Notamacropus eugenii: one gene and its partner. The protein of the gene in region 2 interacts with the protein of the main gene of each other region in a pairwise test. Links are inferred from orthologs where the notes say so. Each region holds a gene or a part of one and is shown on either strand. Other genes may lie near its edges.

Region 1 (3,820 bases), on a different chromosome or scaffold from region 2:
GTTACTTTTTTCTACATTCAAGATTTCATACCACTTTGCACTATGGATTTTATTTTTCACATATGCTACTGAGTAGTATAAACAGGCCTGGAATGGGAGCCATCAGTGTGGCCCTGGGCACCCAGCTTCAGTTTCTTCCTCCATAAAATTAGAAGGCTGGAGAAGATATTATCTAAGAGTCCTTTCAGTTCTGACAATCTCTGGTTCAAGGCTACCATTGGGGATGTCTGAGAAGGAAGACCATGGACTTTCTAATTTTAGTATGTTACTAGAACAAACATCTGAGGGTTTTTCTAAAGAAAAGGGAAAAAAGCTCTGAGGAACCTCCTCCAAAGGATCATAGGTGAGCGTGGGCTACTGCTCCACACGAAAATGGGCCAAAGTCTACTTCCCCAGTTGGTTTTCTGTAAGAGTACTATGATGGCCAAATGTGCATGTTTGCTGCTATGTAACTCAAGGGAGACCCAGCACAGGAAGAACAGGGAAAGAAGGGAAGATGGAACTTATAGAAGTCCAAATAGGAAGAAGTAAAGAAGCCCTACCTTTTTTTTTAATCAAAAAACTGCTGGATTATGCAAGTTCCCAAATCCTACCTTCCTCCCCCAACCCAAAGTGGAAGGAGGAAGAGACTGGGGTGGGTAAGAGAGGGAAGTTAAACTGTTGAGGAGAGATGAGAGAAAAGACAGGGAAAGAGAAGAGATAAAAGTGGTAAGAAGAAAAATGAAGTAATAGTGGGAAGACAGAGGAAAGAGACAAATTGGAGAGGAAAATAAGGGGAATAGAAAATGAAGAAAGAAATGAAGATGGAATGAAGGCAGGACAGGGAGGGAAGACGAAGGGATGAAAAAGAAAATGAAGGTATGAAAATGAGGGATAAGAGAATAGGGGAAAGAGGAGGTGTAGGACAAACAGGTGAAGAAGAGAAAGAAAGATGATAGGATCTAAAGGATATCAGAGGCAATCTAACCTAACCCATAATTTTACAGAGAAGGAAACTAGGGCTCAGGTGGCTAAGGGACTTGCCCAGGTCCTATAAGTAGTTGACGATAGGATGAGGAAAATGGGGCAGGAGAAAAAGTGAAGCAAAGTGATGCTGAGATTACGAGTAGAGGTAAGAATTAGACATGGAAGGAGAAAAGGAGAGATGAGGCTGTGAGATGAAATGGTGAAGACAAGATGAGGAAGGGAAAAGGGAGAATGAGACATCACATGAGAAGCGGGGGCTGGGGAGATGAGGATGAGTAAAATGGGGAGGTATGACAGAGGGAGAGGAAAAATAAAGGAGATGAGAAAGCCGGATAAGGGGAGGATGAAGGAGAAGAGGAGGAGCATGAAAAGAAGGATGGGTGGAGATGAAGAAGAGGAAAAAAGAGGGGGATCAGTCAGTCAAGAACCATTTACCAATGGTAAATATGTGCCAGGAACTGTACTAAGGTCTGGGGAGACAAAAAAGGCAGAAGACAGTCCATGCCCTCAAGGAGCTCACAGGGCAGTGGGGGAGATGATGAATAAACAAATACGCACATACATACAAGATAAGTAGGAAATCATTAACAGAAAGAAGGCACTAAAATGAAGATGAGTGGGGAAAGGGACTTGCGTGAAGTCAGTAGACACAGATGAAGAGGGAAGGCTTTCTAGGCATGAGGGACGTGGGAGAAAATGCTGGGACCTAAAGGATGCGGGGTCAGTGTCGCCGGAAGAAGACTACATGGCAGGGATAGGCTTTGAATGCCAGGAAAAGACTGGGACGGTGATAGAAAGTCACTGGAGTTAACTGAGCGCGGGGATGAGGAGGAGAAGGGGGGAGTGAGGAGAGAGATGAAGGAAGCATTAAGGAGGGGAATGAAAAGAAGAGCGGAAGACGGAGAGGAGAAGAGGAAGGCAGGCCAGGGAGTCTCGCCGCGCCCCGGCCCACGTGAGATCTCCACCCCCCCACCCCCTGTGCTCGGGCTCACAGAGGACCAGCCCCCTCCCTGTCCCTCCCCGTGCCAGGGCCGGGGACTGAGTCTCAGAGTGGGTCCCCGCCGCCCCGTGCCGTCTCCCTCAATCTCCCCTCACCATAGTGCCGGCCGCGCCGGGGCGGGGACAGGGCCGGGGCTGTTCCGGTCACTTCCGCCGCCGCCGCAGTAGCTCGGAAGACTCAGAATTCCCTCCAGGCCGCCCCTCACCGAACAGGGCGGGCTGACGTCTCCGCCAGCCAGTCACTACCCGATCCTTTGACAGATTGCCCAATCCCGAACGGCGGAAGGGGCGGGGAAAAGAGGCCGAGAGCTCCGACAGGTGGAGAGTGACCCCGCGCCTCGGGCGCGCAACTGCCGTAAAGCAGTAATCTGTAGGGTGCTGAAAAGACGCGGGCGCCCCGCGGAATTGTGGGTAACGGTCGTTGGCTGCGTGCGCTTCGGCTTCTCGAGAGGAAACGGGAGGCCAGGCGGGTCGGCCAGGCGGATCTGTGAGACGCCCTTAGTGTCTGAGGGCAGAGAGTGAAGAAAACAGCCCCTCCACCCGTCTTCTGAGAGGGCAGCTCGGCCTGCTCGCTGACCTCAGCACCCCCTCTTACATAAGCCTGGCGGCCAGCCGTGACCCTCCACCCTCGAGTCCCTTACCCAGTCTGGGGAATGGAATCCTTGGGCTTCCCACGCCGACGCCCAGGGTTGTAGTGAGGGAAATGTTTGGTAGAAGCCTCAGAGGCGCCATGGAAACCCTAGGCCAGGTGAGGGAGGTGTGGGCTGTGCCAAGCACGGCGGGCGACGATCCTGCTGCCAGGCCACACCTGGAGCGCTGGGTTTAGTGGGGGGTAGGGGCATGGACCTGCCGGACGGTGACGGGGAAGGCGAGAGCCCTGGAGACCCCAGGAGGAGCTGAAAGAGCTGGGGATGGTCTTAGCCCGGTGAATAGACTTGCCCTGCCCGTCCCCGTGCCACCCCGCCCTGGGGGCAAAGGGTCTGCTTGGAGCTCAGCACGAAGAGCTCCCAATAATCCGCAGCCCTTAGAGCCTGGAAGGTTAGGGAGGGAGATGCTCGGCGGGGAATATCCTGCTTCAGGTTGGCGTTGAACCCGATACAGAGATGTTGTCCCAGCATCTTTTCAGGTCCGAGACTCTAAGGTTGCTGGAGTTTAATTTGAGTGAGGCTCAAACCAGAGCATTTTGTGAAGTGCTTTGCAAACCCTAAAACACTAGTAATGGTTGGGGTTTCTTTTTGAACTGGCATCCCACCTTTTTCTGTAGAGAAGTACTGTCCTGGACTCTGGAAGTTGGAAGAGATCTTATAGATCCCTTTTCAGACGAGGAAACTGAGGTCCAGAGAGGCTAAGTGACTAATTAGGACATGGCCCCTTGTTCTAACACAAATATTTGGAAGAGGAAAAAACACTAAATTTAGAATCAGCACCTAAGGTTGGATCTCTGCTCTGCCCTCTGATAGCTGTCGGGCAAGTCAGAGTTTTTGTGTGGCTCATTTTCTTTATCTGTCAAATGAGCAAGTGTGACTAGGTAATTTTCTTTCGGATGCTCAATTCGTTGTCCAAATAACTGTAACTATATGATAAATGTAACTGTGTAACAAGTGCATGAGAAAAGTGCATAATGCTGTATGAGGAAATTAACCACCAAAGAGATTGTGGATGACTTGGAGGATGCAACATTTGGATTGAGCTTTAAAGAGGGGCTCGAATTATGAGGAGCAATGGGGAGGAGGGTATTTCAGACAGAGGGAACAGAATAACATGAGCACACAGGTGGAAAAATCCTGAGCAAATAATGTGGACTTGAGAGAGGAGTAGATCAGGAGTACTTAAGTTTGACAGAAACACAGGATAC
Region 2 (3,600 bases):
GCATATGAGAAAAGGTCAGTAGGTCAGTCTGGCTAGAACACGCTGCACATGATGGAGGTAACATTTATTAAGTCTGGAAAGAAAAGATGGAGCCAAATTGTGAAGAACTGAAAAGGCAGTCAGAAGCAATACTGAGCCACTGAAACTTCTTGAGCAGTGGACTAACAGAGTAAGATCTGTATTTTAGGAATATCAGTCTGGCAGCTATGTGGAGGATGGAGAGATCAGAGATAAAAGACTAATTAGATGGCTATAGTCTAGATGAAAGGTGATGTGAGCCTGAATCAGGGTGGTAATTGTGAGAGATGAGACAGAAGTAGAATTGATAAAGACTTGAAAATGAGGGAAAGTTAGGAGTTGAGGATGATTCAGTGGTTGAAAATTTAGGTCATGGGAAGGATAGTGGTGTCCTTGATAGAAATGGGAAGACAAGATAATGAGTTCAATTTTGGACATATTGAATTTGAGATGCCTAAGGGATATCCAGTTGGAAATGTCTAAGAGACAGCTGGTGATGCAGGATCGGAGCTCAAAAGAAAAACTAGGGATGTATATATAGATCTGTGAGACATCTGCATAGAGAACTGAATCCACTGAAAAGCTGATGAGAATACTAAAAGTCTATCTAGAGGGTCCAGGATATATTCTATCAGAGGGCAGGATATGGATGGTGATACAGCAAAACAGACAAAGTTGACAGGCAGGTAGGAGAACAAATAGAGAGCAGTGTCATGAAAACCAAAAGGAGGGAATGGTATGTCAAAAAGGATCAGGACTAGATTTGGCAATTAAGAGATCACTGGTATCTTTGTAGAGGACAGAATCGAAGGAGTAATGAGGTAGGAAGCTAAACTGCAAAGGGGTTAAAAAGTGAGGAAAAAAGGAGGCAAATAGCACAGACGGTTTTTTCCAGGAATTTGTCAGTGAAAGAGAAAATATGTATGTATAAAATAATAGTGTGAAGGGATTCTACCTCTATTTCTCTCATTTTACACAGCCACTACTTTGTGCAGACAGACTATCTGGATAGCCTAATTGGCCCAATTTGTTCTTTTTCCAATTATCCTCCAATATAGCTGCCAAATTGATATGCCAGAAGCATAGCTCTGAACATATTACACTCCACCCCTCAACAAAACATTTGAATGCCTCCCTAATGGCCTTTAGCATAAAATACAGACTCCTCAACTTGACATTTAAGGACCCCCATGATCTGGTTTTTAAGACATTTCCCGATACACTATTTTTTTTTCACGGACTCTATTCCATTCAAACTGGTCCTAAAGCTGTTTCTCTTACACAACATACTCCCTCCTGCCACTGTGCCTTTATATAAGAGATCACATAGTTCAAGTACCACCTCCTATTCCAGACCTTTCCTCCTCCTTCTCCCTCTTGAAATTGCTTTGCTGTCTCTAGGGTCTATTTGGGCTAAGATAAAATCTGGCACGTATACTTTATACTTAGGTGTATACACATCTCCTTGGTAGAATATGAACTCCAAAAGGGGTGTGTGTGTTTTTTTTATTTTGGTCTTCGTGTCCTCGGACCCTTGAACAGTGGCACTTAAATGTCTGCTGAATTGGGGTGGAGGGGTCGGGCAGGAAGATAACAAGTCTCTGCCACAGCTTCGAGAACGGTGGGCCTCACTTTCCTTGAACACTATCGGACGCCCTGTTTCAGGCACTTACTGCGTCCCCTCACTGTTGCACCCAATTTCTTGAGCTCTGGGACCACTCGCCTCCCCGCTGCCGGGCACGCACCTCGCTATTTCTTTTTATCAGCGAGGCCAACCTTTCCCCCGGACAGATCGTAATCCCATCCTCCAGGGGTTTAGTAAAGGGTCTTCCAGAGTTGCCATGGCCTAAAGACTTCCCCACCTGGGCCAAGCTTCTGGGGACAAAAGCCTCGCAAATCGCAGGCACTTAATGAATTTGTGGGGAGTACTCAGGTCGAAAAGCGGTGTCGGAGTCTCTGAATGACCTCCATTGCCTTCTTCAGACAAAAGGGCAAAAAAGAAACCCCGCGTGACTCCGGAACGCCTAACTCCCCCCCAGGCGATCTGCGGTCAGAGGGAGGCCTCGGCCGCTCGCGGACCGCAGCCCGAGGGCCGGGGCTACGGCCTGGAGACGCGTCCCGGCCTCGGCCCATGCCCTACCCGAGCCCGAGGGAGGAGGCGGACCGACGAGGGAAGGGGGACTGGCCCGGCGGCCACTCACTGTCAATGTCCTCGATGAGGCTGGCGGTACCGGGCATATAGTTCATCTTGAACCGGGAGGGGGAGGCTGGGCTGGGGCACGGTGGGGAGAGGAGGAGCGGAGCGGACCCGCCGCGTCCTACTTCTCCCTCCGCTTCAGCCTCCTCAGCGGGGCCGGTACCCGCAGGTCCACAGCCGCCAGCAGTCACTGAGGAGCTACCGGAAGTTCCCCCTACCCCGCCCACTTCCGGCATCACGTGGCTCCCATGCTCGGGGGCGGGTCGTACGGCGCAGGCCCCCGAGAAAGGAGAAGGGGGAGAGATGTGAGCGGGACCGCATTAGATAGTGGGGAACTCGTTTTTCCTCTTTAGGCTGAGGAAGAACGTGCGCCTTGCCCTTCTCAGTTCTCTAACTTCAATTCCTAAGGTTGGCCCGAACTAGCATAGACCCCCCCCCCCCCCTTCAGCCTCATTGGTCAGCGTGTGGACCATGAACGCTACTCCCGCGGAGGAGGAGCCAGGGCGGCGATTGGTTGCTTTGGCTCCGCCCCCTTTTCCCAGGCTTGTTCTTTGCCTTCAGCGGGCGCCTGCGCAGTGGGCTTGGGGTGGGGGGAGCGGGAAGTGCGGCGGCTTAGCGGAGCCAATGTCTACCCTGAGGAGATCAGGATATGGCCCCAGCGACGGCCCGGGCTACAGCCGCTACTACGGGGCTGGGCCCGGACCCGGACCCAGCATTGGAGACGTGCCCCCGCCTGGGCCTCCAGCCTCATCGCGGCCCGAGCCGCCTCCCCCTCCGCCTCCTGGCCCCTGGAGGATGCGCGGAGGCGGCCCGGCGGAGGCTGTGTGGCCCGGGGAAGGCAGCGGAGCCTGCGGAGCCTGCGGAGGTGGCGGGGGCTACTACCCCGGGGGAGCCGCCTGGCCAGACCCGTGCCGGGCCGGAGGCCACCAGGTAATCCCCGATCCGGCCAGCCCCTGGGGTCACTGGAGTCGTCCGTGCGCGGGGGGAGGGGGTTGATGTGGAGGGGGTCGCCGGGGGTGGTTGGTCCCTAGGGAGATGAGGCCCCGGGGGTCGCGTTGCAGAGGCCCGGGACGCCGGGGTGAGACCCTGTTGGAGGGCTTCTAACGGATCCCAGCTTCGTTAGTCTCCTATTTCTGGAGCATGGGAGGAGGGACAAGGTTTGTGGCCTGGGTGATGGTGTCTCACCGAGCAGCGATTGGGGGTAAAGCAAGCTGAAAAAGAAATCGTAAATCGTTTATTGCAGCCTTCCGCTCTGCACAAATGCCCAGGTTAACTGAGCTCGCCCAGGGGAGGCCTCCAAAGCCATTGGGAAGGGGGTCTGGAATGGACCCTAGGTTGCTCCCCCCCCCAGGCACAGGCCCTTTCCACCCTCTCCCCTCACCGCT

What was found.
Region 1: the proteins of LSM1 (region 2) and LSM4 interact in binary tests that used the Homo sapiens proteins (3 or more experiments, as listed by UniProt). The link is inferred for Notamacropus eugenii from reciprocal best matches to the Homo sapiens genes LSM1 and LSM4.

Annotation. Positions count from the first base shown.
Region 1 is NC_092875.1:67,413,722-67,417,541, reverse strand, and holds the start of LSM4 (U6 snRNA-associated Sm-like protein LSm4), read right to left. Parts: upstream 2,675-3,820; 5' UTR 2,065-2,674; coding exon 2,062-2,064; intron 1,917-2,061; exon of another isoform or gene 543-1,916; intron 1-542. UniProt on the Homo sapiens protein: Plays a role in pre-mRNA splicing as component of the U4/U6-U5 tri-snRNP complex that is involved in spliceosome assembly, and as component of the precatalytic spliceosome (spliceosome B complex).
Region 2 is NC_092872.1:622,810,563-622,814,162, reverse strand, and holds the start of LSM1 (U6 snRNA-associated Sm-like protein LSm1), read right to left. Parts: upstream 2,702-3,600; 5' UTR 2,452-2,701; coding exon 2,220-2,451; intron 1-2,219. Other genes in the region: BAG4 (BAG family molecular chaperone regulator 4), read left to right, coding at 2,840-3,145. UniProt on the Homo sapiens protein: Plays a role in the degradation of histone mRNAs, the only eukaryotic mRNAs that are not polyadenylated. Probably also part of an LSm subunits-containing complex involved in the general process of mRNA degradation.